3 linked regions of the Drosophila melanogaster genome follow. The protein of the gene in region 2 interacts with the protein of the main gene of each other region in a pairwise test. Each region holds a gene or a part of one and is shown on either strand. Other genes may lie near its edges.

Region 1 (11,665 bases), on a different chromosome or scaffold from region 2:
CCCCATAAAAACATAATCACAGATGAGCTCCCATTTGGCTAACCAGCTTTCCTCTCTTTTCGCCAGACAATGGGACTGCGACTGGATCGGACTGCGCTGACTTTCCACATCTGGGCTAACAAGATTGCAGCAGTGGCTAAGGGCCCATTGTGTACGGGCCTTGGTGCGGGTTTTTGGCCATTCCGATCGGCCGGAGTGCTTTCCATCCAACAGGCCACACAAGATGCCAAGATGTGGAGATGCCGCCTAATAGCGTCTCACCTGCAGAGGCAGCGGCAGTATTAGTCGCACTGGAAGCTGTTTCTTTTTATTAATAGCAATTAGTTGGATGGCGAAAAAAAGGCAACAAATGTATATATGTGTGTATCCACGCTGCCTGGAAGTTGCGGCCTCTTGTTTGTTTTCGGTTTTCTTGCTGGATATTTGTTGTATTTTTTGATTTGGTTTATCCGCGTTTTTCTTCGCTTTTCTTCTAGCGGTTGTTTTATGTGGCGCAAAATTTGCGGTTTCCATGTGGCGCTGATGCGAAATAGCTGTAAATGAACCACCACTCGACTCGACTGTGTGAGCGGAGATATATGCTTGTCAAGTCGAAAATTATTCGTACCGGCATTCGGACGGCTTGAACTCGATTGAACCCAAAGCGAATTGCGAGTACGTATCGGCGACTCCCCCGGGAGATTGTCAAATATCAAGGTGAGTTGATATAAAATACGAAAATTATGTCATGCTGGTCCGAGATTATGGCGCACTGCAGATGGCACAGTCAGATAAAGCCAATTATCCAGCACACAAACAAGTAAAACGGGCAAAGAAAAGCAATAACAGTGAGGCTGCACAATTACTAATTGCATTTTAGATTGAGGCCTGTCAAAAGCCAAGGCAATTGCATCAAATTTGATTTTCAAATGAGCCTGCAATCAGTGGATCAGCAGCCGCTCGATGACGTCCACTTACGCGGGGGTCTGATAAGAGAACCCCCCCCCCCCCTTTTACTTATCACTCCAGTTAGCGAAGAAACCCCCATGGCCAACCATTGCTCTTATCTGGCAAACATTTCGTTGTGAAAGTGACGCAGTCTCAGATACAAATGCGGCAATTGCCCTGCTGTACAAAAAAAAAAACCCAAAACGGAGAAAGACAACCGCAGTTTTTGTTTATCCAAAATTCTTTGGCAATGCTTGGCCAGGCCATGTCATAACCTTAGCCTAGACCTCACACATCACCCAGTCATCCAGTCACCCAATCCCCTAATCACCCACTCATCCACATATCCCTGCCCTCCGAAAAAGGACACCCACTCAGTGGCAGGCGAGGTCGTCGGAGATATAAATTACCATAGTCAAGTGGAACGGTCTGGTTTGGCCTGCCGCTTGCAACATTTTTGGCACAGAAGTCGAGACCCACTGCTGACTGCTGGCTTTTTCATGGCTTCCGTCGCCACAGTCGTTGCCAAAATCAATGAAATTTTCAGCTTCCGCTGTCATTGCGCCCGTCCCGCCCGACATTCGAGCCAAGTAGGGATTGTAAAATTGGGCCGGCGAGGCAATAATTGTTATTATACCATCCGTTTGTCTGGTATTTATTTTGCATATGTGCTTGCATACGGGTATTGGCCAAATGTTAGGCAAAATCGCTAGGCAGAAGGGCTTGTCATTACTCTGGATTGTTTGCTACACTGTTTACATATTCCTAATAATGATCCGAATTCCTTTTGGTAACAAAATTTTTTTTAGCCTCCGAGAGGCCTCTCAATTTCAGAGAAAGTATGCAAATGGTCGCATGATGAGAGAAAAACGTTCAAACATGATAAGCCTATGAGTATGACAATAAAATATCCATTATGTTTCAATGTTGATTTTAGTTGCAAAAAAAACATAGTTGGAAAAGCTTCAAATACGCGATTGGTTAAAAAAATTTCCAAAATATGTTATGCCGTCAATTAGTTATAAGAAATTCCATTTCAAAATATTTGAACCATATATTTCAGCATTGGCTATTCTTGAATGACTATTTGTTGCTTTGTTTCCATGGCAAAGATTTCGACATAAATAGCTTCTCAAACATAAGATACTGGCCTGCAAATAAATCTTGCACTATCTTTGCGAATTGTCAAGTACATATCACATCAGCTGACTGGGAGATAGCAGATATTGTTTAATGTTTACATAGGCCTACGATACCCAGCAAAATCGTTCTTTTTATAGAGCATTGCCGTTCCACTGAGCGCCAATTTTAAATTTCCCATGTATTTAGTATTTTGTTTGCACTGCTTCCTGGCTGTAAGCAAAAAAGAATTTCGAATTCCTTTGGAAGGTCAGCTGGGCTAAAAAAGTGATCCCAGTGGCGGTGGACAGGCTTTTGGCGAGTCAAATTAAAATTCAGTTTATGCGGTCTGAAGAGTGGAAAGCTGAGGGCGTTATGTAAGCCTTTGTTTTGTGGGTGGGAAATGTAATAATTCCGCAATGATCCTCAAAGCAGGTGGAAATAATTGCGCAAGCGTTTTCCCGGGCCGGCGGTAAATTGAATTTGGCCCGCCTGAAAGAAAATCTGCAACTGCAGCGAAAATCTCGGGTCATCAATTCGCTATTCGGCATGACTGCAAGGATGCGAAGGATCTGGGTCTGGGCATTCCAGTGCTGCGACTAAACTACACGAGACACATTCCGTTTGGCAAAACATAAATCTGGCAGCCAGCACACACAAGTGTGCCCTCCCAAAAAGAAAGCCATGGCTTTCCCCCCAAAAAACAAACACACAAACAGTGAAATGAGAGAACAAACAAATAGTCAGAGATGCGATTGCGACTACAGATGCAGATACAGATACTGGTGCAGTGGCGGATACAGATACAGATACAGACACGGATCCAGATACTCCTGCTGCAATCGCATGCAGAAATGTTGAAAACATTGGAGGACATGTGTAATTTCTCACGTGCAACTGCGGGGTCTCTCTCTTTGTTGATTCCCATCCCGCCACTTTACCACTTCTTCACACAATTGGGGGAGAAATGGCAGAAGGACGCCCAGCTGAAGACAAACAAAATGCCAAATGAAACAAACAATAAAAATGTTTGTATGTACGTAGGTAGCAGCAGCGGCGAGCATAAAAGCAAAGTGCTTAAAAAATAATAGTAAATTACACAGACAAGCACCGGGTACCCGGCCACGACACGCCCCCTTTTTGCCACACAGCCATGCATGACAAGCTTGCGTTATTTTGGGGCAAGCTGATTTAATCCCGGGCAGCAGGAGCTGCACAAGCAGCAAGGACGAGGACGGTAGCACCTCGGGCCCAGACGGTCGTTGGGCGGGGGCGTTGAAGGGTTAACGCTTTGCTCACCTGTCCTAGCCCAAAACGCCGCAATTTGCAACGCCCCACCCAGTGAAATCAGTGGACGGAGGACCTTTGGCTGGGAGATGGAAATTAGGAGGGGTCAACGTATTGCCCTAACGTTTTTTCGGCTGCTCGCCTTTCGCGGCACATTTAAATTCAAAGGGAATTCCACTTTCGGTGGATTATATGCAATTTCTTTCGCCGAAACACTCAAATTGTTTTACTCGCCATTTGCGATATGAGAATTCATGGCACATGGTACAAGTGTTCCGCTTCTGATTATGCCAAATGAGATGATTCCTTCGAAACGGCAGTGAGTGCTGCTGCAATGGAGGTAAATGCAATTTGGTTTAAGTTGCCCATGATGGCACACGAGATTTGCATTCGGCATCAGCCAGCTCTATTATATGAAAATACTGCTGAGCGTGTGCTTGATTTTTTACGGAGCTTATCTCGGTGGCATCCACTGGGTGCAAATGGAATTTCATATATGATTCACAAACTTTTCGCTGCTCCAAGATAAATGATTTATTTTCTTCTATTTTTCTTTCCATAGAGTCCAGAGCCGGAGACTCATCCTCGGCTGGGATACAAATGTTTTCATTAAATTCGGTTTGTTTGGTGGTTTCTTTTGTGACCCGCTTTGTTCTCGGTGGCCATTGTGGGGTCCATTGCTGCCATTTGCTACCGGAGGAGGGCCACCCATCTGCCACCACCCACTTTTGTTGCCAAGCTGGAACACTAAACAATACAGCAAAATTACTTAATTTCATGTTGGTCTAATCAAGTTGCCATTGCCGAGCAGGTAAGCGACGAGTGTGTGGCTGGCTGGCACGGAACGTCCTCCGCACAAAGGTGGCCAGCGGGAGCTGGAGCAGCTGAACCATATGCGGGGGAGGAGGGCAGCTGAGGGTCCTGGGTGGCAGCCCTGCTGTACTCAAATAATTTGCCGTTACCGTGCACCTTTAATGTGCCTACACTTTAAGGATTTTACAATTACCATTAAAAATATTAATTAGTTTTCAAGTTTTAATTTACGTATTTTACATTTACTACTAAAAGGAAGGAAAGAAACTTTTCTGTTGATTTGGAGGGGTATTTAATATATTTAAAAGTGGGATAAAACATAACGATGAATTTATTGATTCTTAAGTCATATTGCCAATGTACCAATTGTGATTTTTACTCCCATACAATTTGACCCACTGTTATATATTCATAATCATATAGCCTTTTACTGTTGTTTTGCTAGTTGCTCGACTGGGTTTTTGGAGCAACTTTTCTCAGTGTACTTCGTCCGCTCGTGTGTGAGCCACAACGGAACGTTTAGTGGTCCCACTTATGCGGCGGAGCAAAATGAAGGGAAGAGGCGATGCAGCAGACGTGGAATGGAAGCCCAAAAACAAAAAAAAAAAAACTACATGAAATAGGTGGACAGCTAAACGTTGTGAAATGGGGCCAAACGCTAGAAGGCATTCAAGATTTTAGTGGGTCTTTGGCCAGGCTCATGTTAATTTCAAACTGTGTCAATGTCGGCTTCCGTTTCCTGCACACACACACAGGACGTAGCCTTTGGCCACTTGAGATGCAAAGAGGTAAAAAGGCCACAAATTTAAACATTTGCCCACTCCAACACGCACCGTCGCTCCCACACACACACACACACACTTACAAAAAGAAATCAAGGTGGCCGGAACGAAACATTGGTAAAACGGTCATCTGCAATAAGCATCAGCTGCTGCTGGAACAGCGTGAAAGTGGAACAAGCAGAGGCTGCAGGACACCCGCTGGGCGAGAAGCACAGGATGTGGGCCAAAAAGGCACGGGGAGCCTGCTCCTGAGGCGCTTGATAAATTGGTAGCGACATTTCAGCCGAAACTTGACAATTAACAGCTGAAATACATGAGCTGTATATGTCTGCTTTGTGTAATTAAAAACCCAGCAGACAGCCTGGAAATTGCTTGGCCAAAATGCTTTCATTTTTTTTTCGGTTCTAGCCACTTTCGTCGGTTGGTGGTCCACTCTTGGACAAGATTGAATGCGCCAACAGAAATTATGCCGCCAAGTGTGCCTTATATTGCTGCTACTGCTGCTCTTGCAGCAGCTGTTTTGGCTGCCTTCTTCTTTGGGCCAAATTAACTTTAGCCAAGTTGAGTCCACAGCCAGCCTATGTGTTTGTGTGTGTCCGTGTTGCCTTCTTTTAAGGGAGAGCATGCCTGTGTGAGTGCTTCAGTTTATTGTGTGTGTGTCAAGGCTATGCTAAAAATTTGTCCAGAACATTTGCACATTTTGATTTGTTATGTTGTGGTGCACTGCAAACAATGTCGATGTATTTGGGTGGATGCTGTACGAGTATTATGTTGTATTGGGTCTCATCTACATCATCGTGATCATAATGTGCTGTTAGCAAAACTCAATTTCTTTTAAATCCTTTGGGGTTTATTTGCCAAGTTGTAATTAATTGAATTATTTCCCAGAAGAAATTATTATGTTGATTTATCTTCGAGTATACGTTTGCTGTATTATGGGGAGCGTGCTATAGTTTATTGGTAAATTAGTAATTTATGTTGACTAATAGATTGCCTCCTTTTCGGCTTTATCATTGTTTTTGTGCAGCTTAGACTTTGCTTCTTCGATGGAACAAAGTTTTGCGATAAAAGGGCGATCAACGTTTAAAGTTGGCTTAGGAAAACCTCTAGAACAGTTCTAAATTTTGGTAGTAACTAAACGAGAAAGCCAGCACACATCCCTCAGTGTCTTTTTGGCCACCCGAGGCGTCGTAACCCCTGAGCCCAACATTGTATGCGAATGCCGCTCCGATAAGACGTGCCATTTAATTACCAAAATATAAAGTGCATTCCGGCTACCAGAGCGCCCAGCATGGAGTTTTCTGCGAGTGTCAAATCCCAAAACAAACCCACGAGCAAATATGCCGCATGCTGATGACGACGGCGATGCCGATGTTCGGCTCGTAACAGTGCACGTGGTGGCCAAAAAGCACGCTACATGCACTACATCTACTCATACACTTACTCACACACGCACACACACACACACACACACACACAGGCTCGTGTCGGGTGCAGCACTCACTCACACCATGACGAGTGCAGAGGCGTCGGCAGAGTCGACCGAGACGGCGACTGCGATAAGATAAAGCCCCTGCGATGACATAGAGCACCCAGAGCGCTCGAGTTCTGCCGACGCTGGCAGAGATGGCGGCGCAGACGAGTAGCGCATATAAAAGCCGCTGACTCGATGGCAACGAGCATCACAAGACGGCCAACCGCGCTGCCGAGCAGACGAGTCCAGTTCGAGAGGGTACCAAAATTTAATCAGAAAGTGTAGAGTCAGTTTAGAAGCAACGGTAAAGTTAACGTCTATCTCTGTGTGTGAGTGTGTGTGTGTGTGCGAGTGCTAGTGCTAGTGCACCTGTGTTTGTGCTGAGAGTTTCCGCTACAAGAATAATAATGCCGCAACATTTTTCGAAAAAGCCCATTTCCAAAACCGACAAAAGAACAAGCCAAAAGTAACGAGCACAAGTGGGTGGCTCAAAGAGCTGCGAGGCTCAACAGGAACCAGAGCCCCAGTTTTCCTTGAGTGGGCAGATAGTTTGTGAAAGAAAGGTGGGGGTAGGGTATGCTGGAGGTACTTTTGCAAAAAACACAACCAACCTCTCGACAATTTAACAACTGGAAGAATATTCTTACTTCGCCCCACCTTGGTCAGGGCCATAATGAATTCATTGAAAGCGTGGCCAAAGTTTTGCTCTGGCCAAGCCAAGGAGAAGCGAACGCTGCCGCTCTAAGGATCCTCGTCCTGTCAGTCAGTCAGTCAGTCAGCCAGCCTGTGTCTGTTTTTTCGGTCCTGTTGTTTGGCCAGGCATGCGTCGGTGGCCTTAGGCCGCTCATTGTGAGCTCCTTGGCTCCACAGCTCCTCGGTGGCTGCAAATTGTAAATTGTAAAACTGTAAATTGTCAAACTGTAAATTAATGCAAATTACACGAAATTACTGCGAACCGGACAATGCAACAAAAGGCAAATAGTGGACGCGGAATACGGCGGACAGTGGACAGCGGACCACGGACAATTCCCGGAGCTGCATCAGCAGATAAAGAGCAAACGGCGACGCCACTTGCATTGTCTATTATTTTAAATTGGCTGCGCAAATTTACGGCAGCGCAAAAGTAATTAGCGACGGTTGAAAACTGTGCCATCGTCCAACTCGAATTGAGAATGAAGATGGGTGAGAATTGGAAAAGCGATTGGGTCATCTGGTCATCGGGGGGATTAGGCTGCTGCTGGGATCAGCAAACCGAGTTGTAGATTCCCTGCCAATGGCAGGCCAAATACGTATTCCACTGTCCAATTTGCATGCTGATGCAATCAAAACTACTACAATTTGTCCAGAAAATCGATCAATCGCATGTCTGACAGAGTGTAGCATACTTTTCAGCACTGCCTAACATTTGTCAGCTATCTGCATTTTTTTCGGACCCCATCCCACATTTTATTCTCTAATAATTTATGAGCTTCCTGCCTGCCCTCGCCTGTCGGGAATTCAGATTTTGCATAATAAACACATTGCAGCCCAAACCAAAAAACAAGAACCAGTTTATGCAAATCAAATTGTGTTGATAAACGAGTGGTAGGGTGTTCTCTAATTTGATTGCCCAATAAATTGCTGTATCGAATGAAACCATTTCGCATCTCGCGCGCCGATACTAAAAAAGCAATTAAAGCATTGATGTCTTCATATTGAAATTTATAACTTCACAGATGGCTATTAATTGCCGGAGAGGAGATAAAAGTCTGGGATTTCCGCCATATTTCCATTATTAGAAACTCGTTGCTGCGCTGCATGGCCCGAAAAATGAAAGCGAAACTCAAACAGAACCCAATTAACGAGCCTTCGGCGGTGATGTTGGTTAATGTGGTTGCCTCGTGCCACAAAAGCCGACGCAGTTTTGTGGCAAACAGCGCGTGGCTTTTATGCATTGGCGCATGAGTATTGGTAATTAATGGGAAGGCGGCGGCACAAATGACCGTGCCACAGCGACAAACAAACTTCCGCGCCACACGGCGTATGCGTAATGTGCTCGGCGCCCTACAAAGCGGAACCCAGCGGAAAACTGAAAAACAAATGACATCGATGAATTCAATTTGCGCGCATATTTAATTATTAAATGCGAGGATAAATAATACGCACATCAGGCTATTAAAAGGCTTTAAATTTCCACGGCCATTTCCCGTAGCCATTTCGAAAGTGCTACTGAAATGTGATTTCACTGCATTGCAATGCATTGGCTAGCAGGCTCGTAGATTATCCAGTCGAACTTAATCCCGTTTCCAATTGACCTGGAACAAGCAGACCATTTATATCACCTTTTATATATATTTATTTGCATTGATAAACTTATAAACATATAAAGATTTATGCTAGGAGAGAATATATCAGAATATAACAGAACTAAATAGTATGAATATTTTTGGATGAATATTATTGGCTCCAAACTGTTGTATGAAAACGGTTTCATTTGTCTTAAACGACGAACAAATTTCACAAGTGGTCTCATATTGATTTGTATTTTCCCGTATAAAAACATTAATTTCCTTATGCCCCTGGCTACGTGATTGTATTTCAGTTGAAAAGCACTTTTCATTCCCTTCTGGAAAGAAACTCACGGAATTGCAATTGCCAATGGAGATGGAAAGGGCGCCAAATTGAATATTACACTTTTTGTGTACTTTTAGCCAGTTGAGATGTGGATTATTTTTTCAGCATTCATTTTTTATTTTAACCAACATACTACCACTCCAATTTCACCTGATGTTAATTGAGGCGCACGTGGGAAATTAATGAACTGTGACAGTCTGATTTTTGCGCGCAAATGTGTGTGCATTAAATGCTAAATGAAGTTGACATCGGCTGCCGCATTGTTTGAGGCCATCGTTAATTTATTAATTAAACAAGCGATTTAACCTATTGCAATAATTGTCAAAATTAACCTTTATGACAGCGAAATTTGTGAATTCAATTAACATTGCCAAAGTCAGCTTTGCACAAGATTAATCGTTCTAAGGGAAAATGGAAGGAGGGCTTATGCAGCTTATGAATTTTTGCAATATACAGCATTATGAATACTGGGCCAGATTATTTTTTAATTTATTTTGACTCTTAACTTTTGACCTTGCTATGACATAATTTTAAATAAAATGTGGGTAATATTGTTGATTTTATTCCGTTTTTCATAAATTGTAATTGAACTAATCCACTTTTAAGCCAGCACTCACCTGCACTTCAGATGCCCGAAGGCAATAGAACCAATATTGATAATTCTTCCATTAGAATAACAATTTCCCCACCATTTTCTTGCATGTTTCAGCCCTGACTTGGCTTACAAACGGCAACCTTTTCGCCATAATAATATAATAATATTATCTTTAGTAAGAGTCAAATTTACGCGCACTTGACCAGAAACCTTTACGCCGTTCCTAGATCGGATGTCTTATTTGAATTTGCCTCTTGCCAATTCGATAAGCTCGACTCGGAGAAATTCTATTTAATTCCATTTCCGAGACAAACTGCATTTTTGCCAAACGGAAGTGGTCCGCTTTTAGCCATCAGCCATCAGGCATCAGCCGTTGGCCATCGACGCTGTCTTGGCCATCCCGGCATCCTCGTTGCCGTTACCGTTGCCGTTGTCATGTTCATTGCATTCCACTTTCCACTTGACATCCTCGCTGCAATTTCCCTCTGTTGTGGAATTATGCTTTGGCTACCTTAGCGGCTCCTAGCTGAGCGAAACAAACACCAGTTTCTGGGGTAAGGGATACCCGAAATGAACTAAGGCAAATATTTACTAGGCTTGTACAATGACTTAAGCCTCTTCCAAATAAAGATAGTGAACATGAACGATGCGTTTTGTTCTGCCTTTAAATTCTATTCGGGAGATGTATTTTATTACATATAGTTTATACGTTATATTTCTTTCAATTTCTTCAATCCGATAGGGTTCTGGCAAAGCACTCGGCACTCGATTTAAAGTCCCTTGAGACTCGCGTAACGCCACCCATAAACGCTGTGAATATGAGGTACTCTTTTAGAGGCAGTTAATGCAAACACGAAGGCTTTCACAGGCTTTCAGCTTTGAGCGCTGGCAATGGCCCGGTCTGGTCTTTTGATGTTTGGGGGCCTGTTTACTGCGTCTGCACTGCCAAGATACATTCCACAATGCATGCATGCATATATAGTTCTGTCTAATTTAGCACATGGCCCTGCCTTGCAACTGGCTTCTGATTGAAGGTTAAATGAGCCATGAGCCCCACAAACACACACATAAGCATACACTCGCACGCTCGCAAAGGGGGCGGGGCTGGGGGCTGTCTGAGGCAAAGCCATTGCATTTGTGTCGCTTTTAGCTCGGCACTCGACCCGCCTCTTTTCCCCCAGGATGCATTTGCATTGCGCACAACAGCGCTTTCGCTCTTTTCGCATCCTTAGACAGTCCTGTTTTATTTCCTTTGCCCGAATTAGCTGGCATAAACCAAGCCAGTCAACTAGAGCTAACCCAATCCGTTTTCCTGCTGCCCCTGGTTCTATTCTGCTAGTTTTGGTTTTAATATTTTTTTTCTTCCTAGACTGTTATTTTTACGAGGCAGCACCACCCCTAATTGAGAAAGAACTTTAAATTTAAACGCAGCCTTGTTTCCGAATACTCTTCATTTGCCATTTTCTGCCATCGACGATGTCCGTTTAATTGTATTTTTCATTGTCATTGCAGTTCCCCATTTCCGGTTGCAACTGTGGTGAGCCAATATAAGCTCAATAAAGAAAACAACCAGCGGTAAATCAAACACACAAAAAAAAAAACCAACACAATAATGTCGATCTCCGATTTCCGCAAAAAGAAGCTGCTTTTTCTGTTCAATGTGTTCTTTGGTGAGTATTTATCAGAATGAAGAATGACCGATGTGGAAAAAAGGAGTTGCAAGTCGCAAACCGCACGTGACGTCCATTTTAAGGGGAAAATCCCAGTCATGGGACGGGAAAACTTTGATTAGGTTGGAGCCGAAGTGGAGGAGTCGGCTTTAATAGGAGTGTAAAACACGGCCAAGATATTATGAGAATTTCTATAATAAAATCGCAACGTGAATGACAGACATAAGCGTGACGTTCACTTTCGATTTAAGCACCACCATATGTGCTGTGAAAAACAACGCGTATACGTAATGTGGTCCTATTGCATCGCGTATACGTAAGTGCTTGAAATCCACTTAAATACGTGGAGTGTATTCCGTTCCATGTTTAATGCACAGGAGTGTTT
Region 2 (11,635 bases):
CTGAAGCATCCATCGTTGGATGGAATAGCTTCTTGTAATCCGGGTATCTGAGCATAACATCTTCGGATGCCAAAATGTTGCGCAGTTTTTCGAAAGAATGTTTTTGCGCCTCATCGAATTGTACTTGGATGTGTCGCGATCTATGTCTGCTTACACTTCCATTTTCGCCCTTTAAGATATCCAAAATAGGCCTTGCTATGATTGCAAAGTCCTTAATAAAGCATCACCTAGGAATGATCTAACCCCAAATACTGTATTTGGTTCAGGGAACTCTTTTAGGGCCCTGACTTTCTCTGGGTCGGTAGTGGTGCCATCACTGGTGACTATAAAGCCGAGAAAGTTTACAATTTTTTTTTTAACTTGCCTTTTTTACTGAGTATCATGGAGATATCTATGTATGTATCTATGTAAATATATCTATGTATTTGTCCGGGATAGTCCTTTCGAAATTCTATGACTACTCGTCTATTTTGATTGCCACCAATATTGGGTAGTTATAAGGCGACACCGACTTCTGAATTATAGAATTTTTAAGCAGGTCCTGTATCTCGTTGTTGACGACATCTGCTGCCCCCATGGGGTATGGATATAATTTGGCGTAAATGGGCTCTTCGCTAGTCGTTCTAATCGTGGCCACTACCGATGTGTTATATGGCAAGGCCTCGTTCGGATCTGCGAAGGCGTTTTTTCGGCTTTTGATCATCCCCAGAAATGCCTTCTTCACCAAAGGTGGTGCATCTGCGCACTCCACGTTAGTGAAGTTGACGTCAGTGCATTTATGGAATGAAATCTTCTCAACCTCTTTACCCCATTTTAGTTGGGCGGAAGCGAGGCAAAGTGATGCGCCGGCCCCGATTATCCCGTCGAATATTGCAAAATCTGGTAGAATGAAAAAAGTCGCTTTCAAATAAAAATCGAGACGGAGAATTTTGTTGTAACAGTGGTGGCGCCATGAATTGAGTGAATTTCGAAAGGAGAGTCCACCGGGCGGATACCCTTTAGCTCTTTCCGAGGTCGGATGAAATTTTTTTCGATTCCGCTTTGGAGACGGCAGCGGCTCCTGTCTTTTCTTTCGCATTCTGCAAAATGAAGTTAATTTTTTGCGGTTTCCTCACGGCGCCTGTGCGCTCAGAGGTGACTGGTCTTCTATTCTGGTACCCATTTGCATGGGTCGGCTGCAGCATTTTAGAAAATGAGGGATCGACCTCCATAGGCTCTGGTGTGCGTTGTTTTTGTAATTTTTGACATTTTGCGGATCGGCGTGAGCCCTGTGCTGCCTATAGAAATACGGATTTTTGGTATTATTAGTGTAGTAGGCTGCTCCTTCTACCCTCTTCCTTTACTCTTAGTCATACATTCCTAGTCATACATACCTAATTATACATAGCCAATCTAGTCATAAGCTTATACATTCATACACCCATCCTTACTATATACATACATACAAATATTATCGAGAAACTTATCGACTGATCGACTCGCCACTCTGCAGAGAGCGCGGCAGTCAGTCGCTGTTGAACCAAGCTAGAGTACAGATCGAAATAAAAGAGACAATTGAAATAGTATTCGAATATTAACTTCTGTAAACGGCGGCTAAAATCTCAGAAGTGGGATTAATAATCCAAAATGGACGATAAAATCATCCTGAACGACTTTTCGCTGACAACTCTAAAAGATTGGCTACGTAAGATTGGCTGCAAGACATCCCAACGGCAGTTCGGGGCGATTGTCCACCGGAGCACCCCCAGAAAAACGCTCCACCAGGAAACGACATTTTTTCTTCACTGGATTTCCAGAATTGTGAAATTAACACCGATCACGTAAGTGTGAATGCGATGAACAGAAAAGAATCAACCGAAACTGGCAGTGAGAGGGAGACAAACATGTTCGAGCTACAGCAACTACGCGCAGAGCTAGCAGAAGCGAAGGCAATGCTTAACGGAACACGATCGAGCTTGCAGTTCCAAGAACAACAACAACCAGAGCAAAGCAAGGCTACAGTTAGTTCCGTTATCCAGACGGCGCCACAAAAGAGAACACAACATTTCACTCGCCGCAGCGATCCAACGAGAGAGCGGAGAGCCAGCCTTGTCACTGCCTTAATGGCGAGAGGTGCCGTTGAAATTTTTAAAATTTTTTAATTTTAAAGCGGCTATCCCCGCTTGTCACCACGAAACATATGATTCCTGTGACCCCGAGAATTCAGGCAAATATTTAACGGCGTCTAAAGTCACGCTACATGGAGAATTATTAGTTATATCTATGGGTTCGTAGGTTCTAATTACGGGGGCCACGGCTGAGGTGGGCGCGACATGTGCTGCTGCCAACCCGTTGGTCAGTTCCTGAATTTTCTGACGCATTTCATTTTGTGTGAGTTCGTTTTTGGCGGCCTCCTCCGCTAAAGTATTGGCCACAATTCCCTGTATTACAGCTTTACGCTGTTCTGGATCTAGCGCCAATGCAGGGTGATTCGCGGTTACTCGTCTTAGAGGGGGAGCTTGACTCTGAGTCTGTGGAGTATGGTTTTATTCGTATACTGTGAGAATCCGGGCTGCATGAGCAGTCCATTTCGCTTAGGTATGTGTGGGTGGCAGTTGACCAAAGACAGACAAACAATAAATAAAGACAAAGGCTGCAGCGCGGAATGTCGCGCTTGAATCGAATGAAAACATAAAATGTTATAAAAAAAAACTATATGATTTTTGTTTCTATTCACATTGATTACTGTTGAAAATCGTGTATTTTTTGTTCAAAAAAATTTTTGTTGGAAACATTTTTTTTACCGTTACATTGGCGTTGATTAACAATGTATTTTTTTTTTGTTTTTTAAACGATTCTGTACAGCGGTTTGTGGTACATAATTATAAATTGCGTTTAGCATCGGTTCCAACTCACATGATTTTTTTAAGTTTGTGTGTTGGTGTTCGTTGCTGTAGGTTGTTGGTGATAGTGATGGTGGGTGGTGGTTTTCACCACTAGTTGAGCGCCAATTATTTAAAGATGAATCGCACCGTCTTGCGTATTTTAACAATATTGTTTTTTGAATCTCTCTTTCGCTTGATACCGTTAAAAACAGCGCGAAAACGAAGAGAAATGCAAATAATGACTGCCAATTTTTGTACAGATTACCCATTACATTCTCTTACAAGATTGCACGCAGACAATCAATTTTTGTTTGGCACAAGTATTGTGACAAGCTTATTTAGTAAATTGTATCCTTTTTTGAAGCACTTGTAAATCAAAAATTGTTTAAATTGTACTTTTTATGATGTTAAACGTTATACAAAAAGAAAAAATAAAAAAAATTTATTGATTGATGGCCATGGGTGAAAAGGCCCAGTTAAGTTCGTTTATTGTTGTAGATCATCAATGGAAGCACAGTTTAACGTTGGAATTAAAGTAAAAAACTTTGCGAAGCAGTTTAAATTGCCGCGTCAAACTGTGTATTATCAATTTAAAAAGTATAAAAACATAATGATTTAAAAAAACTTAAAAGGTTTTAACGGCCTTAACAACATTCACTGACGACAAAGTCTTTATGAGGGAATTTAAAAAAAAATTTTCCAAAACCCCAGCCGTTGAAACGCAGTGGAATCTGACCGCCAGGCTTCCCAAAAGTAGTGGCCGCCCAGTTTGACGACGTTTAATGGCACAGGGCGTGAGGACATACATATGTAATAATCGGTGCCCAGGGAACACCACGGGGAGGCCACTACAATTGTAATGGGTCCTATATTTACATGAACTTCGCGTTTATTTTCCACTACTTACCAATTACTATTTGCGCTTATATTTCCGTACTTTACTATTGCAACACATTTTGGAAATTGTTATAATTGTAATTATAAAACAAAAATTTTCCAAAAAAAGTCATTACATTGAAAAAAAATTGTCTACAAATAATACGTTGTAGAAAATACTGCTTAAAAAACTGTTTATTACAAAAGTCTTGAAAAATCTTGAGGCACGAAGTGCGGACACAACGTCGCGAGCTGAATACTCTAATGACAATTATTTTAATATAGTCATTTTTGAAATTTATTTTGTGATATTATGATTCGGCTATTTCTATTTCTAAGCTTTATTAAATAATAGTAACGTTAAGGCAATGCAAAACAATAATTTTTCACATGGTGCCTATTTATCAAAAATAATATAGATTTAAAGTCTAAGAACTTTTAAGGTGAAGGGCATATTTTGTCAAATTTACAATGCATGAGCATACGTGTGCACACATACAGTTGTCTGCTATCACTGCAGGCGTCGAAAAGAGCTGTTCGCTGTAGCGCTCTCCGCTCTCTCGCTCTCGAACAAAAATTTGAGAGTATGGCACTACGCATCTGTTACTCTAGTGTCTTCGGTTCGGTGACTTGGTCCCTGTCTCCGGCTCGATGAACCAAAGGCAATGTTTGACGACCCTAAACGAAAATGCGTTTCCTTCTGGAAATAGGCTGATCGAGGATCATTTATCCTGCAGAAAGATTATGCTCCGTGCCACAAAGCCCGAATGATAGCCAAGTTTCTAAAGGCTGTTGGCGTCACTCTCTTGAATTGTGCACCTCAAAGTCCAGATTTAAATATAATTAAGAAATCTGGTCTCTTTTAAAACGGAAAATAACTGTTCCGTGACACAAAACTCGTTAGAAGGCGATTTCTGAAATCACTTCTCTTTTTAAAGAGATGATCCTTTACAATATGGAGGATTTAGTAAAGGTTCGACTTACTTACACACAAAAAATAGACATTACTATCATATTAAACCATTTAAAAGTTTCACTGAAAAAAGGTTTGGAGTTTATTTTGTCAAAATGCTTACCGACTAGTGTATGTGGATACAGCAACACAGCGCACAAGATAATCTCGTGTTCATATGTACATGTTACAGAACGACGTAACGTAACATAATTAATTACCAGCTTGATATAGGAAATCAAGACAGTAATGACCTTACTAACTACTTTAATTAATTTATAAATAAAATATTTGTAAGTTGGGTAATTTAATAATAGCTATCAACAAAATTAAAAACAGTACGAATAATTCATGTCTCGCCAAACCGTTCCACACAATATCAGTAATAACCGTAATAAACATTTAAAATACCTTTTTTTAGGTCTTCCGTAGGTAAAATTCCCGTGGAGAAATAAAATATCATTTCAACAATTTGTTCAGATTGACCTCTTTAATAAAAAAAAGTGCTTTCATGACTCTGAAGGAAATTCCGGAGTTTGGATTTATCGCTACTATAGTAATCAAATATATTAATTCTCAAAATTTAAATATATAACAGAAATAAGAAGTGAATGGCGCACTGAACACATGAAACATAAAAAATGAAGTGAATAGTCTTCTTTGGGGTTTAAAAAACACAAACTCCTCACTCCGCCCCTTAATACAATAAGCATGTTGTAACATTTAAATTGAACTTTAACTTTATTAAAAGGAAAACACCTCTAACAAATATATCGAAGGGAAAATTTCAATACTAGTTTTAAGTAGTTGGGAAACTACATCTGAAATATTAGTTGGCAGTTACTCTGCTATTCATGTAAAATTGCTGGGCGGAGAGCAACAAAGTCAAAACATATATACATGCGGCAATCCAGCAGTTGTAGGCATTCTGAAAAAATTTACCTTGCATTAGCAGACGTATGTGTACATATGGTTGTTGTAAAAAGAGAACATACCTGATTGTATGCTCTATTTGCAGCTGCATAAAAATCTTCCAACGAATGGTATTCCTCCTCAAGAGGTAAGTCCTCAATGAGGGCTACACTATTTATGTAGAAGAATAGACCCATTAAAACCTTTAACATAAATATGTAAGTGGTTACTTTTTGAAACTTTGACGAAATTAGATTCTCAGTACTCACCAATTGGACAATACCCCAAACAGAGATAATAAGACCACAAAGTGATAGTTTCGGGCCACAGATTTTCATTTTCTTAAATTTTTGTTAAACACTTTTAAGAGAATAAAAAGTTTCAGCAAACACAATTCGTCACAATTCCTCAATGAAAACTGTGATTTTGTCAGGTGAACATATCATGTGACCAAACTTTTGGTGTGGCTGTGCACAAATAAAATTAAAAAACTGATGCAAATGTAAGCGATAAAAAACATAAGCTCGTCAAACTAGCGTCGGTGAGCTAGTGACGATTTAGGAGCGGTGGAAAAGGAACAAGGGCCGTTTTAGTAATTTTAGTCACTGCCCGGAGCGTGTGAAGCGCAATGGTCAACATTCTACTGCCCGGAGCGTGTGAAGCGCGATGTCAGCATTCTGCCGTGAGCGCTGCTTCAGAAAACGGGCTACTTCATATTAAGCTTAAGTTTTCTGTCTTTAGTTTTAAAACTCATCAGAACGCGCATAGTCGCATAATAAATCGCAATACACAAAATCGTTGCCTGTTAATTTATATAACAATATATATATAATATATTATAATATATATATTATATATATATATATATATATACAATACAATACAATAAGTATAATAAATAAATATATATATACATATATATATATATAATAATAATAATTTTAATATTATTAATTTTATTATTATAATTATTAATATTTTAATATATATGTCGGAGATTGAGTAGATCTAACATATTATTTGAATTATTATTTGAATGTAACCGACATTTGTTTATTGATCCGTATGTTAAGGATGAGCAGCGAGTAATAAAATTCACGGAATGAGTTCCGTTATTGAGTGGGCATCATTTGTGTGTGTATTCAAATTAGCATGGCGCCTGTTGTTGTTGTGGTAGAGTTTTGTGGAAACGAAGTAAGGATAAAACAAAAAAAGAATTTTGAAGATGAGAAATAGAAGAATAGCATCGAGAAGGCGACGCTTGAGTAAATAAGTCTGGTGAGAACTGCCAAAGAGACAACACGCAGGCGACTTGCTGTGCTAATTAATTGGACGCTCGGCTTCACCGACATATATATATTATATTATATCATATATATATATTAACATATCCATTCTATACCCACAACTCCCCAACCACACACACTATCGTAAACAATTACACACACACATCAATGTGTAAGTACGAAATGTAATTAAAGATCGAGAGCCCTTCGATTAAGCTTAGCTGTCAATTACTCACAGCAAAGTGCAAAAGTCCGAATTCCAAAGTCTAGACTCTGCGTCGAGCCAACGTCCACGTCCCCTAAATATCCGATCACTTGGTGAACCAACTGAAATAACAAAAACTTCCGCCCACACAATCGTCTCAGGATTCTCCAATTAATCCTATTTTTCGGAAGCTCCTCTCTTAACAGGAGAATAGACGTTGATAACGTTGTTCTCTTAAGCTTCGCTCTTAAGCTATCCCAATCTGCCTACATAAACCCAAACATGCCCCAATACGTTAGTTCAGTTCTGAGTACGTTATCAATCGCCATAACCCTGCTTAAGATTGAACCACGCGAATCGGCGCTAAAGTGAACATAAAATCGTAATACAATTAACTCTTTTATCCGCAAAAGAACTACTTATAATCGGTGGTTGACACGCAATAGTCAAACCTACTGCATACGGTCAATAAAAGTGTAAAAACAAAAATAAAAATAAAATCATCAGCCATGGCAACCGAGCAAGTCAAACTGTTATCGGAATCCCATCTGAATCAAGCCTTAAGCCAAATTAGGCAAATACCCACATTCAGTGGTAATACCCCAGAACTCAGTGCCTTTATCCGAAAGATCGATTTCATACTTCCAGTCTATCCATCAACCGACACCAGTTAAAAACATGTATTCTTCAGCGCAATTGAGATGCAACTCGCCTCGCGCGATAAACGAGTTCACATGCGTCTGATTTGGTTTTTCCAAAAATATTGACAACCTACAATTTCGTCTTGTCTTATTTTTTGATAGGGTTTTATCAAAGACTCTAGAATAACAAGATGCGTACCGCCATAACGACTTTTTGGCACACGATTTTTTCGGCGTGGCTCTAGAGGTGGCTCCAGGCTCTCCCGAATTTTTGTTCAAGATCGAGAGAGCGGAGAGCGCTACAGCGAAAAGCTCTTTTCTACGCATACAGTGATAGCAGACAACATGCATTGTAAATTTGACAAAATATGCCCTTCTCCTTAGAAGTTCTTAGACTTTTAAGGCAATGCAAAGTCTAAGTCTAAGCAAAGTCTTAAGTCTGTATTATTTTTGATCAATTGGCACCATGCGAAAAATTCTTGTTTGCATTGCCTTAACGTTATTATTATTTGAAAATAGATTAGAAATAGCGAAATCTATGTACATCACAAAATAAATTTCAAAAATGACTTTACATTAGAATATTTGTCATTAGAGTATTCAGCTTACGGCGCGTAAAAAATTAAATTTGTAAAATTTATGTTTTAGATTACAGTAGTTATAATAATTTCCTTTGTATTTGCTTTAATTATTTAGTATATTTATTAGTCATTTGATATTTTTTAATATTATTATAATATTTAATATTGATATACATTTTAATATTATGTATGTAAATAATCAAATTTTATTATTTAAAGTGCACATTAGATTCAGTTGTTTTTTCATATTCTTTTTTTTATATTCAAATTTGATATTTTTTAACAGCGCGCAATTTCATCATATTGCTACGAAATTGGCCAAAACTCCCCAAATATGTAAAATCGTTTCTTCGATCAGAATTGATTTCGTCCCGAAAATCGTATTCTAGCACAACACGCACACATATAGGCGTTCTCTTCTCTTTTTTTACTCACACAAGCAAGAAAATTCTATTTTTATATTTCTTACGCTCTTAGCGTTCACAATTCGTTCACATTTTTAATCGAAAGAAATTTTGATTTGCAAAAAACTTTTTTCACGTTCACTTTAGCCCAAAACTAACCCGCCCACATTTGTTGGATATTTTTTTATAATTTTATTAGTTCTTTCGAATTGCCAAAGAACTTTTGACCGAACCGGTCAAATTTTACATTTTTTCTTATGAAATTTCGCGTTTGCATTCCCACTAGCTAAGTAATGGGTATCTGATAGTCGGGAAACTCGACTATCTTTATGATTTATTCTTTTTTTTTTTATTTATAATATAATATTTATTATTATTACAATAAGTATTTTAAGTTTCTTTGATCACTTCATTGTTATAATTGATTATGTTTTTATTATTTTCGTAAATTTAATCTCTATAATGGAGCCGGATATTTATTTTGGGTTCCTCCGAATAATAACCAAAACAAGCTTTCTAAACTTAGCTACCATAGTATTTAAACAAGAGAACTCTTGATTCTTCTAAAATCGGGTAACTGTTACATAGCTAAAGGGAGACCATTTTTTTTGGAGATAGATAAGGGGCTCCACATTATCGTTCAGCTTTTTTGCGAAAGTGCGAATTCGCAGGGTCTCATGGTCTTAAGTTGTTAAATTTGTAAAATTTTAGACCGATCGGATAATGTTTAGAGGTGCCTTTCTTAACCAAAAGTTTCGTATAGGCATTTTTTTATTGCTAAAATTCTGTTTTCTTCTAAATTCCTAAATTCTATTTAAGGTTTTAGGTCGCAAATTACTTTAATCAACTTTATTTTAAGTAGTGCGTTTAGTTTTCTTTTTAAAATGATTTTAACTATTCAAATTGGTTAAGAATTAGCGGTTTTACCGCATTTTATTGAGTATTTTCCAAGTGTCTAATATTGATAGCTCTAATCATTACGTGAACACAAAATCTGTGCAACTCTTTTACAATTTTAACCGGGACTTAACGTGTAAAGCGTGTTCGAATCCAAATGCCCAAATCGAAATCCCGAATCGCTATCCGCCAAGAATACCATTGTATTAATTAGTTGGAAAAACTTTTTGACGACTGCAAAAATCTCAGCAAGAATAAAAACAGAACAAGAGCTAAACAAGCGGCTTTCGTTGACAATTTGGACAACCTTTTTGATATTGCACATGCAAATGCAATGGATGCTCACAAAAAACAAAGAATTTTTACAAAAAAATACAGCACCTCTAAACATTATCCGACCGGGCTAAAACTTTACAAATTTAAGTTTTACACCAAAACGAACAATTTGAGACCATGAGACCTTTAATTTTCGAATTTTGTTGTGTGTGTTAGGTAAACCTAGTTCAATTTGGGGAATAAGTTCGTTCGTTCGTTTAAAATCAATGAACTAGGTCGTTCATTTAGTTCAATCGTTCATTTGAAACTTTTGCTTTACAAAAAAAAAGGTTTGAATTTATTTCATACAAGCTGTCATTGAAAATTAATATTATTTATTCAATTTATGTCAAAAACACTTATACATAATAATAATAAGAAATAATAAAGAGTTTGCAACTATATTGAACTAAGTGAACTATATTGAACTATAAGGACAGACCTAGTTCGTTCGTTCAGTTTGGTGAATAGTTCAATTTAGTTCGTTCGTTCACGAACGACACAACACCAATCATCCAATGCCTTAACTGGCGCCCAAACAGGGGCGCTGACTTGTGCGCAGACAAGTTTTCATGAGTCTAGGAGCAGCAGAAATAACTGGTCAAGGAAAGGGCTTGTCGGGAATTGGAGAAAGTCGTATTTTAACATTTGGAAGTATTATTATATCCGTTCTAATAGATACAATGGAAGTAGAATTTCACATGATTCAAGATCAGGATATGGGTTTCGAACCTATTTTAGAAAGGACAATTTTGGACACTGTGGATATGAAGGTTACCAAAAGTGGTACTCAGAAGGTAAAATTAGGGATACATAGATATTTGATCGTCAGGTGAATGATGGATTTCTATGCATGTGTGTGGAAGAGCTTATAGCAACTTCTAAGGTAGATTTATCTCATCTTAGTCAGCCTGAAGCTTAAACGGAATTGGAGATGATTGAACAATATTGTCCAATCCGTAACACAAATGCCCCTGACGAGATGAAAACTGTTTTGAAAGATGACGTTTCAGTTTATCACCATCCCAGGCGACAGTCGTATAGTGATCAAAACTTTGTAGATGAGCAGGTGCGGGAACGGTTAAAAGAATGTATAATACAGCCAAGTACATCCGAGTATGTATGAGTAAATGAGAAAATTATACGAGATAATTTTCCGATGCCACAATGTCTTAGACAAACTTCAGAATGCGAAGATATATATAAAATAAGATTTGACCAATGGGTTTTTCCATGTGCCCGTAGAAAATTTTGTCCGTGATTCGAAGTGGGCAGTACGAATTTTTTTTTTGTACCGTTTGGCATTTCGAATTCGCTTGCAGGTTTTACTAGGCTTGTAATATCGCTAGTGGCATTGTAATACCAAAGACACTAGAATAAAAAGATGCGTAACGCCATACGATTTTTTGGCACACGATTTTTTTTGCCGTGGCTCTAGAAGTGGCTCCAGGCTCTCTCGAATTTTTATTCGTGAGCGAGAGAGCGGAGAGCGCTACAGCGAACAGCTCTTTTCTACGCATACAGTGATAGCAGACAACTGTATGTGTGCACACGTATGCTCATGCATTGTAAATTTGATTTAAAAATAGATTAGAAATAGCCAAATATTAATATATATTATATTATATTATATTATTATGTATTAATATATTAATATATAAATAGCACATATTATCAAAAAAAAAATTTAAAAATGGCTTTA
Region 3 (3,450 bases), on a different chromosome or scaffold from region 2:
AACTGCGCCGGCGGCGTCGGAGCCTCTGTCAAGGCTGTGAATGCCAGCTACTCGGACGCTGGTCTGTTCGGTTTTGTGGTCTCCGCCGACTCCAAGGACATTGGCAAGACCGTGGAGTTCCTGGTGCGCGGCCTGAAGTCGGCTTCGGTGTCTGATAAGGATGTGGCCAGAGGCAAGGCTCTTCTGAAGGCGCGCATCATCTCGCGCTACTCGTCGGACGGTGGTCTAATTAAGGAGATCGGTCGCCAGGCGGCGCTCACCCGGAACGTGCTGGAGGCGGACGCCCTGCTTGGCGCAATCGATGGCATCTCGCAGTCGCAGGTCCAGGAGGCGGCCAAGAAGGTGGGCAGCTCCAAGCTGGCCGTCGGCGCCATCGGGCACCTGGCGAACGTGCCCTACGCCTCCGATTTGGCTTAAGTATATAAACACCTGTACATCTGTTAACCGTAATGTAACGACTAAATAAACCTGATCAAGGGGATCGATCCGCGAACGTAAATACTTATAAATCCTACTTTAATTGGTGTATACATAAATAATCAAACTTTGGGTTAACAGATAGACATTCCACGCAGGTCATAGTATAAAGTAGTATAACAACTGGAATGGATCGTGGGAGCTAGACGAAGACCACGACAATGATGGCGACGAACAAGGCTATGATGACGAGCCAGTAGCCCCAGGTACTGTCCCGCCGGTTAACCTGTCCAATGCTCTGTGTTTCCCGCTGCACACCCGTTTCCACACGGTCCATGGCATTGGCCAAGTTGTCAAGGATATCTACAAGGAGGTAGGGATTAGCATTGGTAGTGCAGGGACTGGGGAATACCCACTGTTCTGGTCCTCCACCTCGTTGCCCAGCTGTGTGGCCAGTTGGCGCTGTCTGGACAATGTGGCTGATAGAACCTCGAGTCCTTCGTTCTGCTGCGCCAGCATCTCGGTCTTTTTCTGCTTCAGAGCCTCCACATCCAAGGCGGTATTCCGCGAGGAATTGCTGTGACCTGGGCCGAGATCCTGATCCTGCCAAGCAGAACCGGATGCGGCCGGGACATTGGAGCGGCTACTGTTTGCGAACTTCTCGCGGATCTCGCGCAGCTGCGAAGTAAGTCTATCCCAGTCGATGCGCCGCTGTTGCAGCTCCTCCTCCGGGCTCGTCTCCCAGGTGATGGCGTTGTCCAGCACCACCTTGAGGTGCTTCATGTCCTTGGCCAGCTGCTCTATTCCCGTCTGAATGCTGCTTGTCAGTTGGACGAACTGGCTCGTCCTCGGATTGAGCTGCTGCCGCTGGTTGAGGTATACCAGCAGCTGATGCCGCAGTCGCTCGCAGCCCTCGTACTCGATGTCCCAGGAATCGTGATCCACCAGCGCCATTTCTCTGCTTTTGCTATGAGTAATTATCAAAAGCAGAAAACTACGCCTCCAGCAATCCAAGTAACAAAAACAAAAACAATAGCCGAGCAACAGCTGATGGCTGGTAGCAAAATAAGTAAGCGCGAGTACGGTCACATTGCCAGTAAGAAGGGATTCGGAAATAATCTTCAATGTTTGAACTGATTTAGATATTATACTTATGTAGCTGTAGATAAGCTGGAAAAATGCACCGCGATTAATCCCCAATCCTTTATCAATTCACCTCGCAGGTGCGTTGCTAGTGTGAACTATTTACTAAATAATTTAAGCTGGTCACTCGAAAATCGTCACTATGATGTGAAGTATGATTATTCGGCCCGAATTCCTGAAACTACTCACAAAAATTAAGAAATGCTTTCCAAATTGCTTCCAATTCTGATTCTGCAAGGTGGCCGAAGAACGTATTCCTTGTGCTCGAGAGATTACACCATCCCCACAAGTAACCACACCCTAACTGGTCAAATTTTAAAGGTTCCAAACCTAAATTCGCAGGAAAGATGTTTTGGTACGCACATTGTTGTCCGGCATAAGAGAGGTCGGTTCTACACCGACATTGGCGAGCTCCGGGCTGTATTGGTATACTCCATCAGGGACGGTGTGATGACCATCAACAGCACCAACGTCCCGGAGGAACTGGGCGGACATGGCATTGGGAAGCTACTGGCCAAGTCGGCACTGGACTACGCACTGTTGAATGGGCACTTCATTATTATAAGGTGTCGGTTTGTCCAGCACTACATCGACAAGTATGAGCCGCAATACGCCAAGTACATATTAAATTAGGGAACCGAAAACAAAACTTCAAAATTGTCGACACAATCAAACTGAACACAAATAAATCCCCCCACTATGCACATAGACACCATACATATAAACGTATATTTGCGTTCAGATTTGTTGAATTCCTTCGGTTTTTGAAAAATTACATGAAAATAATTTGAATTGGCTTATTTTTAAATTATTTCAAAATTTCTAAACCGAAAGGTAACAGATTATATTTAATGACGAAATTACGGTTTCTTATATAAGCTATTTTGTTATGCTTCTAAAAACAAATGTTTTATTACCTCTTTAAAATATGTAAACTAGTTTTCACAATATATTTTAAAAAATTGTTAATTTCCATATATACCACCTTGCATTGTGTGACCACCCTGAAATTAGCAAAGGGCGTTGCCAGACTCCGGCCACCCACGCACATACGATAGTTGGGACCGGCCCGGCGCGGTGGACAAAGTCACGGTATCGATATGGTGACACGATTCACCCACACATGCATGCATTGGGCTACGATGGCTGTGACACAAGGTGTGAAGAAATCACTGGGTTACAATGAGCGCTATTTATAAATATTTTGGAAGTATGCTGCAGGATTTCATAAAAGTAGTATGCAATTGGTATGCTTGATTCATATTGTTTAAAATTTGCTGTGCTACGTCAATTTTGTACTTGAAAAATATGGAGTCGTGACATGCCGCCAAAGCGGTGACTTGTCACGGTGAAATAATCGCGACTAGTAGCAGGTACGCAACTATCGCCCATCGCTAGCTCACACGTACACACAATTTATTTAGTCGTGATTTCTATTTTATTTGTTTCAAATTACAACCAAGAAGGAAACAAATCGCGACCAAAATCCGCTGGCCACAATGCCGAGTGCCTGTACAAGCGTGCGCGAGCATTCCCACTAATCGGAAGCGAGCGCATCCGCCGTTTTGAGCGTTTTCCGCGCGGGAGTGGGAAATCGAAAAGGCAAGGCAAGCCATCGGTCCGCTGCAAAATAGGGATAAATAGGATATAGTAACGTAGTTCAGCACACAATCGGGGGGCCAGCATGGAGCGGCGCGTGAAGCTGAAGACGATCAATCCGCACATAACGTGCAAGATCTGCGGCGGCTACTTCATCGATGCCACCACGGTGACGGAGTGTCTGCACACATGTGAGTTGGTCCGGCATGGAACACTACCTGCCCAATAACGTCAGTGTTTGTTGCAATTACAGTTTGCAAGAGTTGCCTGGTGAAGCACCTGGAGGAGAAG

What was found.
Region 1: the proteins of RNASEK (region 2) and Scp2 interact in a two-hybrid assay, tested with the Drosophila melanogaster proteins (one large-scale study listed by BioGRID).
Region 3: the proteins of RNASEK (region 2) and Syx8 interact in a two-hybrid assay, tested with the Drosophila melanogaster proteins (one large-scale study listed by BioGRID).

What each region holds. Positions count from the first base shown.
Region 1 is NT_033777.3:16,578,605-16,590,269, reverse strand, and holds the start of Scp2 (sarcoplasmic calcium-binding protein 2), read left to right. Parts: upstream 1-6,606; 5' UTR 6,607-6,706; intron 6,707-11,122; 5' UTR 11,123-11,222; coding exon 11,223-11,280; intron 11,281-11,665.
Region 2 is NT_033778.4:4,182,073-4,193,707, forward strand, and holds RNASEK (ribonuclease kappa), read right to left. Parts: upstream 6,056-11,635; 5' UTR 5,943-6,055; coding exon 5,874-5,942; intron 5,808-5,873; coding exon 5,688-5,807; intron 5,621-5,687; coding exon 5,522-5,620; 3' UTR 4,763-5,521; downstream 1-4,762.
Region 3 is NT_037436.4:16,585,608-16,589,057, forward strand, and holds Syx8 (syntaxin 8), read right to left. Parts: upstream 1,451-3,450; 5' UTR 1,372-1,450; coding exon 834-1,371; intron 781-833; coding exon 620-780; 3' UTR 501-619; downstream 1-500. Other genes in the region: UQCR-C2 (Ubiquinol-cytochrome c reductase core protein 2), read left to right, coding at 1-417; CG32163 (uncharacterized protein), read left to right, coding at 1,762-2,193; l(3)73Ah (lethal (3) 73Ah), read left to right, coding at 3,245-3,350, 3,413-3,450.